Notamacropus eugenii: one gene and its partner. The protein of the gene in region 1 interacts with the protein of each later gene in a pairwise test. Links are inferred from orthologs where the notes say so. Each region holds a gene or a part of one and is shown in the gene's direction. Other genes may lie near its edges.

Region 1 (10,786 bases):
TTCTTGTGCCAAGATCTTACCCTTATCTGGGGAGATCCCAGGAGGGCCCCCATCCTGTATCACAAAGTCAAGGAGAAAGAGCCTTCCCATGCTATACCAGAGGATGAGATTGAAGTTGAGATGGTGATGATAGCCCCAAGATAAAGGATCCAAATTGCATTAGCTACATCAGAGACAGGAAATGCAGAGAGGGACAGGCAAGAGGCCACGGAGGAGGACACTGCCCCTGGACGAAGATATGAGTGGGGAGAAGACCATGGGGTCAGGGGTTATAGGTTTAGAACTGAAAAAGACCTCAGAGATATTTTAGACCAGCCCCCTTCAAATCCATTCAATTCTCTTCCAGGGCTGTCTTGGTCATTCTAATTTCTTAGATACCATGCATCCACAAGCAAGGAAGCAGCTCTCTATTTGTTGACTGGCTAACATCTATCCTTTAATGAAAGGAACTACACCCTCCCTTCCACTCTAGCCCCATTACAAACTGAATGTCCTGATTTTCCCCAAGATGTGGGACTAGGCAGTGAACAACCAGCTTCTGAAAAGACCCTCCAGGGCTGACAAATGTCTGTGGCATTATATTGCTCAGGGGGCCATGGTGGTGTGCTCTCTCTCACTCTGTCTAGGGCAGTTCTGCTATGCCCAGGATAAGGTAAGAGACTCAGAGCTGGGAGAGACATCAGGCATCATCTAGTCTCCTCCTCAATTTACAAATGAGGAAACTGAGACCCTGAGAGGAAAAAGGGCTTGGCCAGGCAGTGGCTGAGTAAGAACCAAAGCCACGTCCAGCTGGATGCAGGTGAGCATTTTTGTTTGCTGGAGGTGGAGAAAGGGGAAGAAGAGATCACGATGGAGCATGGGGCTGGTGACACACAAAATAGGCTTCACTATTGGATGAAAGACCAGCTCCCGGGTGTTCCGGTATCAGGCGGGCCAGAGGGGAGGGGCAGGGTGAAGTAGGACAATTTAAGAGAGCCCAGGGAAGCATTGACTTAGAAAAGCTTGTGGGGAATTCAGAGCCTCTTCATTCTCATTACCCCTCTGGCTGTTATTTCGAGGGGTCTCTGGAGAGAGATAAAGCTGCCTCCCACTGCCCCGCCCATCCATCACTCCTTGGGAAGAGCTCTCAGCCCCAGACAAGCTCATCATTCTCTTCCTCAACAAGATTTCTTACACTAGCTTGGGCAGGCCAGGACCTCCTCAGCTCTGGCCCTCCAGGCTGAGCAAACCTGGAGGTACAGGGAAAAGGTGGATCAAGATTCTGGGGTTCAAGGGTAGAAAAGATCAAAAGACCTAGAGTCAGATGAGACCTGGGTCTGAGTCTTGCCATTGGCACTCACTCAGTTTCTTCATCCATAAAATGGGAATAGCAAAAACTAATCTTACTCACAGGGGCATTGTGAGGTAGAAATGACACCACAGGATCCTGAAGAGACTCTGGAGGTCCCCTAGTCCAAGCCCTTCATTTGACAAAGGAGAAGTTAAAAGCCATTTATAAGGTCGTACAAATCAAAACTGGCAAAGCTGAGCTAGTATTAGAACTCAGGTCATCTCACTCCGAAAGTAATATAGGTAAAGCAGTCCAGAAACTTCAAGGTCCAGTAATGGATGTGTATAGCTTCCTTTTTCTCCCCACATTTGTTTTTATTTATGAAATAAAAGAAGCATTTCCATAACATAGTATAATAAAAAGATGATTGCATACGAAGTGCAAATATATTGTGTATTGCTATTCCTTTTAAATATATAATGATCACGTAAATTTCTTTTTTATTTTTTTCCCTTCCCCACCCTAGAGATAATTATCATTAGACACAAATATATATATGTGTGTGTGTGTGTGTATACATATATACATACATATATACATACATATATGTATGTAAATTATTCTATACTTCTTTTTGTTTCTGTTCAGTCACTTTTCATTCTTATCTGACTCTGTGGCCCCATTTGGGGTTTTCTTGGCAAAGCTACTGGATTGGTTTGGCATTTCTTTCTCCAGATCCTTTATAGATGAGGAAACTAAGGCAAACAGGATTAAGCGATTTGCTCAGTGACATATACTTAGTAAGTGTCTAAGGCTGTATTTGAACTCAGTGGACAGAATGCTGGGCCTGGAATGGGAAAGACTCATCTTCCTGAGTTTCCAGGTTTTTCTTCAGAGCTTTATCTTTTCCATTGTGTTATTGCTTAAGTCATTCTCCTAGTTCTGTTCACTTCACTTTGCATCTGTCCATAAAAGTCTTCCTAGATTTTCCTGAAACCATCTCTTCATTTCTCACAGCACAATCGTACTCCATCACATTCAAATACTGTAACTTGTTCAGTCATTCCGGAGTTGAAGAGCATTCCCTCAGTTTCTAATTTTTTGCTGTCACAGAAAGAGCTGCTATAAATGTTTTTGCATGTTTGGTTCTTTTTCTTCTTTCTTTAATCTTTTCGAGGTATGGAATGAGTAGCAGAATTGCTGAATCAAAGGGTATGCAACATTAACATATGTAGCAACATTTGGAGCAGAGTTCCAAATTTGGGCCTATGTAAGACACAGTGCCTAGTATATGGTAAGCGCTTAATAGAGCTTGTTGACTAACTGACCTGTGGAGCAACTACCAGACAACTGAAGGGAGTTTATAATCAATTGATGGAGTTATGGTCAACAAGGGCTGTAAGAGGTCAGAGAAAGGTGGGGTCAGTGTAGCCTAGAGAGGTGAGAGAAGCACTCCTGGAGAGTCAGGACATGAACTTGGCCTCACAGGATAAGCAGGATTCAGAGCAGATAAAGGTGCATCCTAGATCATGGAATCATTCCAAGACTCCAAGAGGACTCATGTAGATAGTGAGGAGACTGACCTGGTGAAAATGGAACATTTATATTGGTGAGTAGCTATGGTTGGACCTCAGTTTTACAATCAATAAAATAGAAAGAATTTCATCTACCTATTTTTTTAGTTAGGCTATGGGTATCAAATGAAAAAATTTAGGGAAGAGAGGGACCTTAGAGACCATCTAACCCAACCCCTTCATTTCTCTGATGAGGTCACAAGGTCATATAAACAACAAACAAGCAAGCCAGGATTTGAATTCAATCCTTCTACACCAAGTCCAGGACTCTTGTCATTATATGACACTCTAAGTCTTTGAAATAAACTCATGGATGGGAAATGATGGGAGGGATAAATTACTAAAGTAAAAGCTCTCTAGCAGCCCCTATATTTATGTTGTCCAGGTAACCCAGTCCTATTCTTCTGTTCAATATTAGTTTCTATTGTCCCCATTTTCCCTGTAGATCCTGAGAACACAGGAGTAGTGCAAAGCTGGCAGATGATTGGATCAGAGAGGTACAGGAAGACTGGCTGCTCCCAAATATCTTCTTTACCAACTGCCTTCTGTTCCTGGAGAGGGGCGGGAAGAGGGAGAGGAGAGGATATTTTATGTTTGTTTATAAATTCTATTTTATTTTATTTTCAGTTCCAAATGTGTTTCTTTCCCTCCTCCTCCCCCACCATTGAGAACAAGACAGAAGCATCTACCATTCTTTGACCTCTGAGTTTTAAATTTAAAATAAGCAAATATTACATGGGGTAGAAAAATATATAGTTATTATCAGTCCTTAACAACTTGGCTGGACTTAGTTCATCAGATTAACCAAAGCTAAAAGCTAAGCCCTGTATCCTTGGAACACAATCTGAAAAGGTTTAGGAGAAGAATGGAATGGGAGAGATGAGAGGGAGAATGAGGAGAAAGGAAGAAGGAAAAAGTCTTGGGGTCCAGTCAGGAGTGGGCCTGGGGAAGTTGAGGGGTAGCAGCAGGCAGATACTGGAGCCATCAGGTTAAAAGGAAAAATGGAATGGAAAGTGGAAAGCAAATCACCTATTTCCTGGTTCCCAGTAGGGCAACTCTTGTTCCCATTGATCCATGGACCAGGGAAACTTTGCTGAGAAATTCCTCTCTGCTTATTGATACTGAGTAGAGAAGGAAGGAAGGGAAAGGGTAAGGGATTAAGTAGGACTCGCAAAACCAGAGAACAGTGTCTGAGCAGAAGGCAGATCCTTGTCTCCTTGATTAACAGCATCAGTCTGGTCCCCCTCAGACTGTTAAAAGCCCTGCTGGTGGGAACATAGCTCTCTGCTGGATAAGCAACTGGACCTTTGACTTTCCTAATGGGCCAGCCCTGTGACCCCAAAGAAGAGAAGGTGTAGGCAGAGTTAGCCTTTAGAAGCTAGCCATTCTTCCCTGAGTAGTCTGGACATAACATCTGGATGTTGTCGCTGTTTGTCCTTCATTCTCAGAGGACCATGACACCAGGAAAGTGATGCTGTGACTTGCAAATGAATTGGATTTAAGTGACAAGGGCTGTGCACCAGCTTCACTTTCTCCTCCACAGACTTCTAGGTCCAGTGGTCAGATATAAATCAGATAGCCCCCATCAGGATGGGGAAGAGAGTCATTGGAAGGTCTCATCCTTCTGAGGAAATATCAACAAACATAGAATCATGGGCCGAATCAGCACGATTTGCCTATAGGGAATGAGTGAGAGTGGGGAGTTCAAGAGCACTCCAAGGTTGGTGTGGATCTCACCCTTGTTACTGGAAGATTATTAGCACCACCTCAGAAGAAAATAGGAATCTAAGAGGAAAGGGAAAGTGGTGGGGAGTGGGAGTGGGAGGGGGGCAATATATTTTGTACTTCTCGAGTTTGAAGTACCTATAGGACATCTAGGGGCACATATCCAGCAAGGAGTTGGAGATGCTGGACCGCAGCATTTAAAGCTCTTCCTGAGCTGCCTCCTCCTTTTCCAGACTTCTTACACCTTATTCCCTTACTTCCCCATCCCTTCACTTTGTCTGAGATCCAATGACACTGATCTCCTGTCTATTCCTCAGACTGGCCACCCCCCCCACCCCATACCTGGAACATACTCTCTCTGTATCTCTATCTTCTAGACTCCCTGAATTCTTTTGATGCTCAGTTGAAGTCCTATGTTCTACAAGAACTTAATATTAATCTTAATGTCTATCAAGAAAAATCTTCCTGAGCTCACATCCAGCCTCAGATGCTTACTAGTTGGGTGATCCTGGGAGAGTCACTTCATCCTGTTTGCCTCAGTTTCCTCATCTGTAAAACGAGCTGGAGAAGGAAATGGCAGACTGCTCAGTATCTTGGTCAAGAAAATCCCAAATGGGGTCATGGAGAGTCAGACATGACTAAAATGATTGAACATGCACAATTCCCTTTGAGGTTACCCCCAGTTTCTATCTTATTTGTACCTAACTTATTGGCTTGTCTCCTCCATTAGGCTGTGAGCTACATGAGAACAGTCATTTTTTTAACCTTTCTTTGTATCCTCAGTGCTTAGCAGAATGCCTGGCATATTGTGAGCACTTAATAAACTCTAATCGACTAAATGAAATTCAAGAAAATGATGAGAGCTTACTTTGTAGATATTAGAGGCATCTGCGTAGAAGGAAAGAGAAAGGAACCTACTATGTGCCAAGCACTCTACAAACATTATCTCATGACCCTCACAATAACCCTAGGAGGTGGGGGCTATTATTACTCCCATTTTATAGATGAGGAAACTGAGGCAGACAGAGGTGAGGTGACTTGCCTACAGTCACACAACTATGAAGTGTTTGAGGCAGGATTTGGACTCAGGTCTTTCTGACTCCAGGCCTGGTGCTCTATCCACTAGGCCACTAGCTGATGGTTGAGTCCATGGGGCCTAAGGAAGTCACCAATGGAAACTATAGAAAGGAGAAAAGTGAACCCTGATGTTCCTGTTCACCTGGGGGCTGGGCCATGGATGATGAGCCTGTGGGGGAGATTGAGGGGATTGGTCAGATAGGTAAGAAGGAGGGTCATAAAAACCTAGGGAGGAGAGAGGGGCCCAAAAGCATCAAATGCTCCAGAGAAGTGAGAAATCAAAATAAGTCAGACATATGCATTGATTTTGCTTCCCCAGCCCAAATATAAACTTCCGAAGGGCCAGGAGACATCAGTCTTCTTATTAATTCTCCAACATCACTAGCAAGTGGTCACCCCAATTCTCCTTAAAGATCTTGGTAACAGGGAACTCACTACTTCCTAAGGAAAAGCAGCTCCTCTTTTGGTCAGTGATAATTGGAAGAAAGTTCTTCCTTCTATTAAGCTGATCTCTGCTCCCCTGTCCTCTCTTCCCATATTCCCATCTCCCTCAATTTCTATCCTTTGCTTCCAATTCTGCCTTGGGCAAAGCAGAGTAACTCTGATCCTTCTTTCATATAACTACCTTCAAGAGTGAACTCATCTGTACAAATAAGGGGGCTTGAATGGAGGACTACCAACTCTAGGACTCTAACATCAAATATTAACAACTTACAAGTCTATGAGTGGGTGGTTTCCCTGTGCTCTCATTTACCTCTGACATCACATAGCATCACTATGGCAACAGAACCAACCCCCAACCCCTCAGGGGAGGGAAGAGTAGGTTCCCCAGATCTCCGTGAGAGCAGGGAGACAGTGTCACCCCTTGTCATTCATGGGGGGACGTAAAGACTAAGGATGCTTGGCTACTGACCCTGCCATACCCCCCCCCATTGACTGCCATGTCTGTGGCCCCTGATGGCATTGCCAGACCTGGAATGCCCCTACACTAAGGAAGACATCCAGCCACAGTTCTGCCACGTCCACCGCTGTCTCTGGCCACCAGAGCCCAGTGGACCACACAGCCTCTAGCTATTGCTCAAACCTACCTCAGGGGATGTCCGTGCCTGTGTCATTGCTCCACAGACTTGGAGACATCTGTGCCAATTCCCAGGTGGAGTGGGACTGATTCTAGTTGACCCAGAAGTGCCAGACATTAGCACGCAAGATTATTAATTGAGCAGGAATCCAACAAGAAAGCTTCTACTCTGAAAGAGAATGGGATGGAGCAAGAAAAGGGTAAGCCTATTATCCATTAGTTCTGTGAGTTTCAGTTTTTCACTTCCCCACTATAAGCCTCAGTTTTCTTATCTGTAAAATGGAAGAGACAACAGATAACTGTACCCATCTGGTTCTAATATCCTACCAATCCAATGTGTGCCTAATACAATAGGGTGGTCTAACTTTCAAGTAGCAAAATCATAGGGCCAGAAAAGTATCTAGAGAATTTCCCCAACTCCCTTTTCTAGCCTAGGATTGAAGAACTCAGGCAACAAATAAGTCTTTACTGAGCACTTCCTATGTGCCAGGCACTATGTGAAATGCTGGGAATATACATACAAGCAAAAAGTAAGACAATCCTTGTTCTGGAGGACCTTACATTTTTTTAAATTTAAATTTTCAGTTCCAAATTCTCTTCCTCTCCACCCCTCCCCCACTCATTGAGAAGGTAAGATATACAACACTCATTATACATATAAAGTCATGCAAAGTAATTTCACATTAGACATGTTGCAAAAAAGAAAAAAAGCAAGAAAAATAAATTAAGAAAAAATATGCTTCCATCTGAACTCTGAGACCATCATTCCTCTGTCTGGAGATGGATGGCATTTTTCATAATGAATCCTTTTAAATTGTTGTGGATTATTTTATTGATCAGAGTAGCTAAGTCTTTCACAGTGAATTATTGTCACAATATTGCTGTTACTATGGGCACTGTTTTCCTGGTTCTGCTTACTTCCCTTTGTATCAGTTTATGTAAGTCTTCTCAGATATTTTCTGAAACCATTTCCTTCATCATTTCTTACAGCACAATAGTATTCCATCACAATCACATACCACAACTTGTTCATTCATTCTCTGAGCATCCTCTCACCTTCCAGTTCTTTGCCACTACAAAAAGAGCTGCTATAAATATTTTTGTGCATGTGGGTCTTTTTCCTTTTTTCTTAGATCTTTTTGGGATACAGACCTAATAGCTGCTTCAAAGGATTTTATAGATCTCTATAGATCCCAAATTGTTCTCCAGAATGGCTGGATCAGTTCACAACTCCACCAAGAGTATATTAGTGTCTCTGTTTTTCCACCTCCTTCCAGCATCTGTCATACGCCTTTGCTGTCAAAATTAGCCAATCTGATAGGTGTGACATAGTACCTCAGAGTTGTTTTAATATGCCTTTCTCTAATTGTTAGCGATTTAGAGGATTTTTTCAGAAGACTATAGATAGTTTTGATTTCTTCTTCTGAAAACTGCTTGTTCATATCCTTTGATCATTTATCAATTGGAGAATGGTTTCTTGTTTTTATAAATTTGACTCAGCTCCCTATATATTTGAGAAATTAGACCTTTATCAGAGAAATTTGCTGTTAACAAATTTCTTCCCAGTCTCTTGCTTTCAGTGTCTACATTGGTTTTATTTGTGCAAAACTTTTTTATTTAATATAAACAAAATTATCCATTTTATCTCCTTTGATCCTCTCTGTCTCTTTTTTGGTCATGAATTCTTTCCTTATCATAGCTATAACAGGTAATTTTTTTGTATTCCTCTTATTTGCTTATGGTATCAACCATTATGTCCAAATCATGTCCCCATTTTGAGTTTATCTTCATATATAGAGTGAGATGTTGGTCTATGCCTATTTCTGTCATTCTGCTTTCCAGTTTTCCCAGCAGTTTTTGTCAAAGTGAGTTCTTGCTCTAATGGCTGGGATCTTTGTGTATATCAAACACTAGATTATTATGGTTGTTTATTTTTGTATATTATGGACCTAATTTATTCCATCAATCAGCCACTCTATTTTTTTCTTAGTACCAGATTGTTTTGATGATAATCACTTTGTAGTACAGTTTGAGAGCTAGTATTGCTAGGCTCCCTTCCTTCATTTTTTCATTGATTCTCTTGATATCCTGAAACTTTTGCGCCTCCAGATGAATTTTGTTATTTTTTCTAGCTCTTTACAATAATTCTTTGATAGTTTGATTGGCATGATATTGAATAAGCAAATTAATTTAGGTAACTGTCATTTTTATAGTACTGCTCAGGCTACCCACAAACAATTAATATTTCTTCAATTATTTGGATTTGTCTTTATCCGTATGAAGAATGTTTTGTAATTGTGTTCATATGAGTTCCTATGTGTGTCTTGGCAGGTATATTCCCAAGTGTTTTCTACTGTCTACAGCTAATTTTAAATGGAATTTCTCTTTTTATCTCTTCCTGTTGGGTTTTATTGACATTATGCAACTCTACCTCACTTAAATCCAGTTTGTGCACTGGTCAAGACATCACCCCATGGTGTCATTGGTCTTCTTTGAAAGCAAAGGACCAGCAACAGATAGATACTACTTATCATTTTTTAAAAAAAGCTCCATTTATTCCTATGCTTTCTGTTGTTTTTAATGGGAATGGAGGTTGCATTTTGTCAAAAGCTTTTCTTACATCTATTGACATATGATTTTTTTGTTGTTTTTATTATTAATATGGTCAATTATGCTTATAATTTTCTCAATACTAAACTTTTCTGGGAGTTTACATTCTAAAAGACAACATACAAAGAGGAGCTGAGAAGCTGGGTCATGTGGGGAGAGGAGGTTCCCAGCTAGCCCATGATCTCATACTGGCCCATACTTCTCCAATTTTGTCACCTGCATAAGTCTTCTCTCTCTAGCTAGGCTATGAGGTCCCTAAGGAAAGAGATCCTGGTCTTCCTCTCTGCTGATGAGCTCAGTGCATGGGAGTCACTGGGATGAGACTGATTGATGCTAACTGGAAATTCCGGTTATGATGCAGTGTGAGGGAAAACATTTATCAAGTGCCTGCTATGTGTACTTCAAATGAGTTACAAATATATAATTTGATTATCGTAAATTGAGGATAATAATATTGATTGTATCTTCCACACAGAGTTTTTGAGAGGTTCAGATGGGTTCTTGTTTATTTAGAGGCAGCATGGTATAAAGCAGATAGAAGGCTGGACTTAGGAGTTGGGAAGTACTGGGTTCGAATCCCATCTCAGGAACTTACTAGCTGTGTGACCCTGGACGAGTCCTCTCTCTTGGGTAGTTGTAGATAACAGGTGGACTACTGCCTATGAGGCTTTGTAAACCTTCCAGAGCTATGCTAATGAAAATAACTAGCCCTGAAGGGGTTATTTATTATATATCAGTATATATGCATATATATGTATGCATGTGAGTATATATATATATATAGTACATACGTACATATGTACATATTTATGACAGCCCTTTGGTACCTGAGTTTCATCTATTTCTGGCATTCATGCAAATGCTTAACATCAAGATGGATTTTCTCAAAGGTAATTATACAGTTAAGGGTCCAATTTTTCTTCTCTTCTCACCTCCAGAAATCTGTTTGTTACACATGCAAACAAGCCAAGCAATTACTCTAGTGTTGATTCATGCCGTGTTCAAATTTCATAATTTCTGGAAGGCTTTCATTGGGGGGAGGAGTGGGGGACTCTCACCATGGAGACAGCTAATCAACACTTCCCAATGTTCCTGAAAATTGACACTACTTTCTGCTCTGGGCTCATAGTCCCTACCCCCCACCACTTCATGTGGAGGGTCAGCCACAGGCATTGGAAAGATCTGCTCAATTTAAAGGGGTTTTGTCATCAGGCGGATTGTTAGCTATTATAGTCCTGTTGCCAATAAGATCCATCTGGGGCTATGGACTTTTAAAGAGACATTTGCATATCATTGGCAAAAGTGGTAATGAGCTGATATAAAAACACCCTATGAGCCCTTGGGGAAACTGGAGATTCAGATGAACCCATGGTCTGTCTTCTCTTTGTGAACTATTTTTCCTCTTCCATGGTGCCCTTAATCCCAAAAGAACTTTAGGAAGGTATATGCTCT
Region 2 (10,400 bases), on another chromosome or scaffold:
ACAGGTCCAGTCCCTCTCCTAGTAATGGTGATAACCATAGTCCACAGTATCTGATTTGTTCCTTATATTAACCTGGGGAAGGAGGTGCTGTTATTATCCCTGTTTTACAGATGAGGATAGGTTAAGTGAGTTACTCAGGGTCTGAGGTGGGATCTGCACCCAGGTCTTCCTGTTTCTAAGTCTAGTGCTTTCTACCACACAGCCACATAAAATGGAATTTTAAAGGTCCTCTTCCTCCTCAGATTGTGCCTCTGGCTTCAGCTCCTCCATCTGTATGATGCTCCAGTAAGATCAGAGTTCTCTTTGGTGACCTGACAAAGGCTGTGCCAGTGGAGCCTAAGATTTGGCAAGTCCCAGTAATCTAGAAATGCTGAGTAATAATAGCAACAATGGATATATATATGTTGCTTAAAGCATTGTCTCGATGGGCCCAGTCTGTCTGTTTCTGAAGGCAAGCCTACATAGGTGTGGAGAGGCTCACTCCCAGAAGACTGGCCACCATTCACCAAGACTGTCCCCCAGGACACATGCCAGGGGTTGGGGTCTGTATCAGGGGAAGAGCTGACCACAACCATAGTGTCATGGCTCCTTTTGAAGTACTGAGGTCAGAATATTAAGCTTTTCTCGTGCCCTTTTCATTTACACTTCGGGGAGCCACTTTCCTTTGTCCTTGCCACTCTCCAGCCCTAGTCCTGTCACCCTCTCCCAACATCACTCTCACTACTGAGCTCATCCACTCTTTTCACCAGGAAATTCTGTTCCTTGTTTTAGGTCCATCGCTCCAATCGACCAATCATTTGCAAGGGTTGCCGGAGAACCTTCACAAGCAGCCTGTCTCAGGGACTGCGGAGGTTTGGTTTATGTGACAGCTGTACATGTATTACGAATCCACAAGATGACCCAGTACCTATCAACCTGAGCCAGATGGAGGCATCCTCTGAGGGGCAGGAGAAGGGTGATACAGACAGTGAATGGCCAATATATGTGGAGTCTGGGGAAGAAAACGATCCCACTGGAGATGATTCCGATGATAAACGTCAACTGCATCGAAGCCTTCTGGACCGAGAGGCACTGATGTAGCAATAAATGGGGAGGAGGATTTTTAATGTCCTCCTTATGACTGGTCATTCCATGGACTCAGTTTTATGGAACCCTAAGAGGATTTTTTTTTTTTTAAACGATGACCACATTTACATTTTTGATAGAACACAAGGCAGGGGTTGGCTTTTGTGATTCTGAAATGTTTCTTCACTCTTCAGTGCTGTGCACTATAATTTTGAGGTATTTCTATCAACCAATTTCTCATTCTGGTCAAGCTGTGGCTGTGTTTTTCAGCTCCCTTTTCTCACTGCTGTGGGTTTGAATCCTGACTGGGAGAGAAGGTGGTTCTCTTTGTAGGTAGGAAAGAATTTCCTTATTTGTTTTCCTATTTCTCTCCCCAGGGAGCTACCAGAACCTCTGACCCTCCCTCTCTTACATACATATATGAACACACATACACCCCCTCCCCCCACACACACACTTTTGATCCTGCAACTACTACATTTTTTCTGAGAAAAGATGGCTAAGAGGATATTTTACTTTGGGCCTAATTTGGAGTTTAGCCAAAATGTTCAACTGTGACTCTCTTTTGATGGTGCTTCCATCAAAGAGGGGTTTTTTCAATTCAGATACTGTGAATTCTAAATTTTATTTTAGTGTAAGGGTTTAAATGAGGAGTTAATTCTGAAAACCAGTAAAACACTTGAATGTAAAATAAGACGTCTATCCAGAGGTGATGGACAAGGAAGCTCTGTGACAGATATCTAAGTCTCCTCCCAACTCTAAGATTCCAGGATTCTATGATCTCAAGATTTGAAAGTTCCAAGATGCCAGCATCTAAGGACTTGGTGGCTCCAGGATTCCCTTTTTCAAGTTTTCAGAGGAATCTAAAATTCTAGGACTCAAGAGTCTGTAATATGTTGATTAAGTAGGTAAGCATGGAAAGCACATAATAAACTCAGAAGACACTGATAGCAATTTTTCATAATAAATCAAAGGGCTGTCCTGCTCCCTCTCTGAGGACGCACTATAAAGTGAGCCTTACATGGCCGGTAGCAGAGCCCCTGTGGCAGCTCACCGAATGTTAAATCTGAGTGGAATCTTAAAGATGATTGAGTCCAAACCCCTCATTTTACAGGTGAGGAAACTGAAACCCTAATGGTCAAATGGTTTGTCCCGAATCATACAAGGGATCAGTGATAGAACTCTTCCAGCCTTTGAAGTTCAGTGGCGCCCCCCACCTAGCACATGTTTTGTGATTCCAGAAGCATTCCACAGGGTCATAGATGTCTAGTCCATTTTACAGAAAAATCTTGAGTCCCAGAGATTATGTTACGGGGGTTCAAACCCAATGACTCTAACGCCAAGCTAGCATTCCAATAGAATGTTAGAACAGAAGCGTAAAAAGCAAGTTTTAGTGTCCTGTCCCCATGATCTTTTCAAAGCTTCCACAAGGGACATAGGGAGGCACACAGGGTGAAGAGAAATGCTTGTGAGATCCACTATATTCTTCCACCCTCTTTGCAGTCTTCTTGGGGCTCTGGTGAATATGGCTATTTAGAGGATTAAGGAAATCTTGGGTAATAAAGCCGTCTTTTTAATTGGGCACACTGGTTAAATTTACATTGTGGCCTGATTCTTTGCCTTCTCTTAAGGTATAAATGTGTTTTCCTGAAGGTAGTACAGTAATTTTGTTCTCAGCCTCCTGAGTACATAATTGACTGTATGCCTTATGGAATTAGCTAGGAGCCTAGAAATGATTTATTGGTAAATTACTTTGAACCAGCAAGTCACTGCAAAGAGGTTAGTACAGTATGGGCTTAAATAGCTAGCCAAAGAAAGAGCCAGATTTATGGCTGTTGGAAGAAAAAATTGGAGTGAGGTTTACTATTAAAAAATGAGTCAATGCTAGAAACATTTTCCTTAATATAAAAAACCGGGCACTCTTTCCTGTTGTTTTAAAGGAGAGATCTTAATAGGAGAGATCTTAATAAGACAGAGAAACCCTAAATTTTTGGTGTTGGAGGGATATACAGAAAGCAGTTTTCAGTGATTAAACTTTAAATGTTTGAGATTTTTCTACCTCGCAGTCTAGCTTTTGCACCTATATAAGATCACAGTCCTGTTTGGGACCTTATAACCTGTCTGTATTCCTCAGCATAAAAACATAAATGCCCATTGGGGACTTCTCTATAAGATCCAGTAGGATGGGGAATACATCCTAGAAATGGAAGAATGTCAGTAGTTCATCCTTTTCATACCCTGTATTCCAGAATCAAGAATGCTTGACACACCCTCCCTAATTCCACCCTTCTAAAGCCTTGGGAAGTGGCTGGCTTCCCTTTTTTGCAAAGGTATAGATGGCAGGTAACTAGCCCAAGGTGATAGTTCATTTCAGGTGAAGAAGAAGAATTGAAGAAATCCAGGCTTTGAGGTGTATCCTCAGCCCAGTAAATGGATCATTACTGAATTTGAAAGTAGCAGAGTGGCTTGGAGAAAATGGGATGTGAAATTTCATCCTTGAAAGATTTCCCCAGGATAGAGGACCTTTCCATAATAATGTTTCAACCTATTATGGTCATAGATGGCCCATTATTTCCCCTTCATCTCAATTCTGGAGAGTAATATCCTCACTAGAAACAGTGGCATTCGTGATTATACTCAGCTCACTGGGTTCTGTCATCTTGCTGGAGGAGGTGTGTTTTTTTATGTGCAGTATCAGTTCGTAAACTAAATGTCTATTTATTTTGAATTACTGTCCACATAGGAGATATTTCTGAGCTTTTGTTATTGCCTCTGAACTGTCATTCAATGGAGCTGGTAATGTTTTTATAAGCAGTAAATTCACAGCTGTGCCAGTAGTAATTGAGATTTTGTGTCCCACAGGGAAGTCTTGATGAACCCTTTTCTTTCTGTACATTCAATCCAAGTTCCCCAAGAAATTAAAAAGAAACCTGGAATTGTAGAAATTATGAGCAGAGGAGAAGAAGGAGGATTTGCGTGTGTAATGGAATTTGAAGTGGGGTCCATGGATAGTGGGGACAGGCCTTCCTCATGATGGAGGTGGGGTGGGTGGGTTTGGAATGTAAATACAGATTAGTTGTAGTAGGCTAAGGAATCCTACTGTCTGGTCATTTGGCCAAGAGTTGCTGCTCGGTGTAAATATATGAGTGGTCACTAGACACTGAACATTCTTAGTGAGGTGCTGATCCATGGTCCACAGTTCTACTGTAGAATGAAAACTTCTGGCCATCCTAGGTCATGTCAAACTTAACATGGAGAACGTCCTGGAAATATGGTGCAGTCATACCCAACTCACAAGGGGAGGAGAGAACAGGCAGAAAGGCCTACATACAATGAAGCCAAGACTAGATACAGGAATAAGCCTATCAGACCATTCAGATGACTTTATTTGGGCCTAGAGATTTCCTTGTGTAGAGAGAATAGGATTATCCTTGTGAAATCCTCTGGGGATGCTGGGGCCTTTAAAGGGTTAGGTTAAGAGAAACATTCCCAGGGCACTCTGAGCAGAGAGTCCTATAGCCCTGGGGGCTTGGCTAGGTTGGCCTTTCATTTTCCTGCAGAGTTCATCATCCCATTTGGAAAATTATGCACTTTACTATTTTGTTTGGCCCAGGCCATGTTTGCATTGATTTGTTTCCTTGTACTGTTTGGTCAATCTACCAAGTTCTCTTGCTGTTAGCCAAGTTCTACTGCACCTCCTTTATAGGGCTGAAAAGACATCCTCCTTCTCACATGGCACTTTCTGAGGAAGAAGGAAAACCACTTTGAGTATAGGTAGATTGCTTTGTGTCTAATATGCCCTTTTCTGAGGAGATAGCAAAGAAAACCCTTTCTATTTGGGCACCTTCAAGTGGCAAATGAAAAGCATGGTATTTTCCCAAGGACAGAGAGGCAGCTAAGTAGTACAGTAGACTTGTAGTCAGAAAAAACTGAGTTCATATCCTGTCTCAGCCTTCAGCTGTGTGATGCTAGACAAGTATTTTAACTGCCCTCAATCTTTGTTTCCACATCTGTAAAATAGGAACATAAGTGTACCTACTTTATACGGTTGCTGTGAGGATGAAATAACATGAAAAGTGCTTTGCACACTTTATAAATGTCCTATGTAAATGTTAGCTTTATCATTATCAACATTCACAGTGGACATTTAAGGGTGAGTAAGCATTGTATAGGTAAAGACATTGGACTCAAAATAGCACGACCTGGGTCTCGTGGTTCTTAACTGGATGGTTATGGAGGAGTTGTTTTCTCTGTCTGGATCTAAGTTTCATCATTAGAAAGAGAGAGTAGGCTTTTTCTTTTTGAACCCGGAAGAATAAAAGCGAAGGCAACGAGGAAAAGGTACAAAGAAGCCAGTGTAAGAAATGCTGTCAGGAAACACTTCTAACAATAAGAGCTGTCCAGAAGTAAAACGGACTTCTTAGAGACAGGTGAGCTCCCCCTCCTTTTGGAGGGCTTTGGGCAGAGGTTAGATGATTACTTGTCTAGTATACTATACTGGAGATTCCTTTTTTCCCTTAAGTATAGGGTGGACCAGATGGCTACTGAGGTCCCTTCCAGCTCTTAAATTCTGTGGATCACTTGTAAAAAGCTCAGAGCAGTATTATCTGTTAGTACTCCCTACCTCCCGGGGTTGCTATGAGAAGGATGATTTTTATACTGCAAAGACTATAAAAATGTGACCCATTATTACCACTCTTGGTCTTCAGTACATTATAGAAATGAATTTTCTGCTGATTCAAGACTTAATTATCCGATGACCTTGAATAGTCATCAGATACCTTGCACTTAGTCATAGAATGTCAGAGCTAGGAGCCACTTGTTTGTTGTTCAGTCACGTCCACCTCTTCCTGCTTCCATTTGAGATTTTCTTGGCAGAGTGGTTTGCCATTTCCTTCTCCAGCTCATTTTACAGATGAAAAAATTCAGGCAAATTGGGTTAAGTGATTTGCCCAGGGTCACATAGCTAGTAAGTATCTGAGGCCAGATTTGAACTCAGGAAGATGAGACTTCCTTACTCCTATAGTGCTCTACATTGTACTACCTAGCTAGAGCCACTTAGGATATAATCATTTCTAAAAGGGAAATATTAGGGGCCATAAAAGGGAACACATTTTACAGTCACACAGCGCTACATGGTGGTAGAGCTGGGACGAGAATATATGTCTTCTGTGACTGCTAGTCTAGTGCTTCCCATCAAATTGTGTTGCTGTCACGTAAGTACATCAGTAAACTATTTTGGAAGGAGGTGGTCAGCCATTGTGCAGAGGAAAACATGACTGGGACCTCATGTGATTATATACACTTGTCTTGTGTTGGACATGGCCTGCCAACTTTAAAGTTGGACAAGAAGAGGTCAAGAATCAAATAATAGCTCACATTGCTATAGCACTTTGAGACTCCACTGTACTTTCCTCATAACAATCCTGTGAGTTAGGTAGTGAAAGCATTTTTGTTTTTTGTTTTGGATGAGACCTGTGATTTCATTGGTATAGAGATCAGCAACTGCTCTGTGACTTACACCTTTAGAGAACTACCTGGGGCACCAGGAAGGTAAGTGACTTGCCCAGGATCAAACAAAGAGTATCTGTTAGAGGCAGGATTTAATCCAGGTCTTCCTGACTTCCAAATGGGACCTCTGTCCACTCTCTCAATTTGGCACTGGTAAAAGTATCTTTATCTCGATTTTAGAGATGATGAAACTGAAGCCCAGAAGGATGAAGTGCCTTGCCTAAAGTCACTCAGGGCTGAGACTAGAATCCAAGAAATTCTGATTCTAGGACCAGTGTTATAGCTGTTGTGTCACACTATGCCCTTCAGTACCAGAAAGTTTATTTAGTTCTGTTGTGTTTGATGCACAGGCAGATCAACAACCAGAAAAGTCCAAGCTCTGAATGAAATAGGAATATTAGATCCAACGTGAACCATTTACTTTAAATGAGTATTGTGGGTTGTTGTTTGCATATATTCATGGTCTTGGTCTCCCCTGTGGAAAAAAATGGTGAAATAAGATCCTCAAATTTCCCTTGTGACAACATTACAGGATGAACCCAGTACTCATTGAGAAACGTTAATTGTGCATGATTCAAGAGACTGGGTGGGGCTGTCTTGTTTGAAGCTAAGAAAAAATGACCAGTCATCTTCACTAGCCAATATCTCCCATGTTATTACTGTGTCTAAAATAAAAATGTATCTCCAGTGTTTGGGATCTTAGTGCATCTGAAGGACAGCATCTTTGACAGCATCCTTTATCTAAGTTTTTCTAAAAGGCCTTTATAGTAGTTGCTTCGACTATCAGTGAAAAATGAATGTCTGTTTTTATTACTTACTCCTCCTTCCTCTCTCCCCAAGGAGTATTCCATGTGTTAGTCAGAAGAAAATTCTATCTATTCTAAGATAAAAATGAATCTGGGGCCAGCAAGGGTCCAAATTAGCATCTCATTTAGAAAATGAGCTTGGGAAGAAAAGGGGATGATACCTAAGGTACCATTATTCCTGCTTGGCTTATGCTGAATCACATTATGAAGCCGAAACAAAAAGCTTAGAATGAAAACATCTCTAGCCTTTAGCATAAAAAGACTTTCGTTATCTTATTTGGCAATGTATTCTCAAAAGCCAGTCTGGGTACAGGAATGTCCTGTCCCTTCTAGTACATGTAGTAACTCAAGTAGATCATTGGAAAGCTTGGGCTGAGTAAGGAACTTTCCCATTTTTGGCAGGATCACAGGTTTAGAGCAGGCAGGAATCCTTGGGCTCACCTACAAGGGAGCCCCTTGTTTAAGAGATGAGGAAACTGGGCCCAAAGAAGTGAATGACTTGCCCAAAGTTACACAGATATTAAGTGGCAGATATGGGATTTGAACTCAGCTCTTTTGACCCTACATCTAATACTTTTTTTACCTGGACCGTACTGCTTCCATTGTAAACAAGTTCCATGGGAAAGCTGTGCGACCCTGTACTTACCACTGAGTGACAGTGTTGTTTTTGTGGTACTTGGTGCTGTCTGTAACGTTCTGCCTTAGCAGCATTTCCCTAGAACTACTTTATCACCACACCAGTGGGGCTGGTAACATGTAAAGGGTTGCTTATGCACATTGTGAGTGTGAAATTATAGATTCTTTGCTCTTAGCTGCACATCTTTTGTTTACTTGGGCCTCATTCGTATTCAGGTTTTGGGTTTGATTTCCTGTAACTGAGATGAGGATGACACTTGCTTTATGGGAAAGACTAATGAATGTAAATCACTTTGCAAGCCTTAAGGCACTATATACATGCTGTCCTCCTCCTCCTCCTCATCACTATTATTAGCCTTTAGTTGAGGCAAAGCAACATATCACAAAATAGAATCATTCAGTCAATCAGCTAGCATTTATTAAGTGCCTTCTATGTGTTAGGCACTATATAAGCACTGCAGAGACAAAGAAAGGCAAAACCAACAAAAGACAGCCCTCACTCTCAAGGAGGTAACATGAAACATGAGACAACGTGCAAACAACTATATGTAATTGATATATCCAGGGTAAATTGGAGATGACTCAGAGGCAAGGCATTAAGATTAGGGAGGCATACAAATGGCTTCTTGCAGAAGGTGGGATTTTAGCTGAGACTTGAAAGAAGCCAAATGAAGGCTAGTTTTATGAACTGTACTTTGAAAAGAAAAATTATTGTATTATTCATATCTCTGTTCATGTCTTGGTCTCATGGTGTAAGAGACTACCAGTCTCCCTTTGGAGATGGAATTTTTGCTAATCTGTTTCTCCAATGAGGTGATTAGAGATTTTGATTGAAGATGGCAGCTTACTTCTTTGGCAATACAGTGTGTAATAATAGAAACAGTAACTGTGGTAGATGATCCAGAAACCTGAGGAAGAACTTAGAGCCACAGTTGCAGATCTCTGGACCATGACAGCTCTGCATTTCCTATAAACCATCTAAAGGAAAAGGAAACTGACATCCAGTCTGACATCCAGTGAGTTGGCCAGTTCTTCTGATAGATAAATGCATTTGCGGAAGGGAGCTGAAGACATTAGAAGGCAAAACACACCAAAGCTGTAAATGATCTGGACTATCAGAAAGCAGCAAGAGGCACCTTTCCCTCAACAGGATGGGGAATAATCTACGGTGGTGCATTCCTAGGTTGGTCTATACTGTAATGTTTTTAATGTACTTGATCTGTGCCTATTGTTATTATGTGATCTAATTCTGTTTTGTTTTTTACTGTGGAAAAAAATACAAAGTGGAATAAATGACTTAGCTGGACAAGAGAATTTGGGTCTATCCTTCCCTTCTTTCTCCCTCAAACTATACTTCGGGTACTGTATTGTTTTAGAAAATGAATTTTTTTGGGGGGGCTAAATGCCAGCATGTAACATTCAATTTCTTGTGGACAGGAACATGTTCAGTTTGGTACCAACAAACCAATGACCCAAATGCATATTTGATGATTTGGACTGGTTTTTATTTCAGGATGGTCGATTAAATAATAGTTCATCCAAAAAAGATCTGGTGGGGGTTAGTGGATTGCAAGTTCAATTTGAATCATGAGTGAAATACAGTAGCCAAGAATGCTAATGCAATCTTTGACAGTGTAAAGAGAGGAAAGATTTCCTGGAGTAAGGAAGTAACAATTCTGTGGCACTTTGCTCTTGTCAAATAAAAGTGGTATGTCTTATTCTGTGTGCTACCACAGTATAGGAATGACTCTGAGGGCAGCTAAGATGAAAGGTTTTGAGTTTATGTCATATGATGATCTTTTGAAAGATGGAGAAGACTTAGTAGGGACCTGACGGTTGTCTTCAAGGAGGTGAGGTATTGTTATAGTAGAAATAGAAATTTCTGTGTGATTCATCTTGTAACTCTGACTTGTGACACAGTTTTAATTTGCTATGGAAACTTAGCAGCTGGGTTGCTGATCTCCTTCCATTCCCCCTACACCAACCTTGGGCTTTCCTCACAATGTATCTTGATAAGAGAACATCTTCTTCCCTGTTTCTTGGTATAAGGCCCATGTTGTAACAAGATGTCCAAGGTCAGAATGCTGAGCAGGCATTTACTTTCCCTGCCCTGGGAGATAGACCCCTACTACCATGCAGATGGGTGTGGGAATATCCTTGAAAATCTTATAAAAACCCCATTCAAATTCCTAGCCAGTAGAACAATCACTGATAGTTCTTTGACATCATGTTTCTATCCTACCATCAGCTAATGCCCAGGGATCAGCTCTTTCTTCCCAGAGATATAACCTAATTCTCTGAGTGGGAACCTTTCCCCATATTCTCTATTCCTTCCTATTGAGTACCACTAATAAAGTCTCCTGTAATGTCTTTTGGAATTAT

What was found.
Region 2: the proteins of CCDC33 (region 1) and ZBTB8A interact in a two-hybrid assay, tested with the Homo sapiens proteins (2 studies listed by BioGRID and IntAct). The two-hybrid records come from large-scale screens. The link is inferred for Notamacropus eugenii from reciprocal best matches to the Homo sapiens genes CCDC33 and ZBTB8A.

What each region holds. Positions count from the first base shown.
Region 1 is NC_092872.1:242,197,653-242,208,438, reverse strand, and holds the start of CCDC33 (coiled-coil domain-containing protein 33), read left to right. Parts: upstream 1-6,420; 5' UTR 6,421-6,903; coding exon 6,904-6,924; intron 6,925-10,786.
Region 2 is NC_092876.1:77,435,111-77,445,510, reverse strand, and holds the start of ZBTB8A (zinc finger and BTB domain-containing protein 8A), read left to right. Parts: upstream 1-5,747; 5' UTR 5,748-9,169; coding exon 9,170-9,201; intron 9,202-10,400. Other genes in the region: ZBTB8B (zinc finger and BTB domain-containing protein 8B), read left to right, coding at 772-1,080. UniProt on the Homo sapiens protein: May be involved in transcriptional regulation.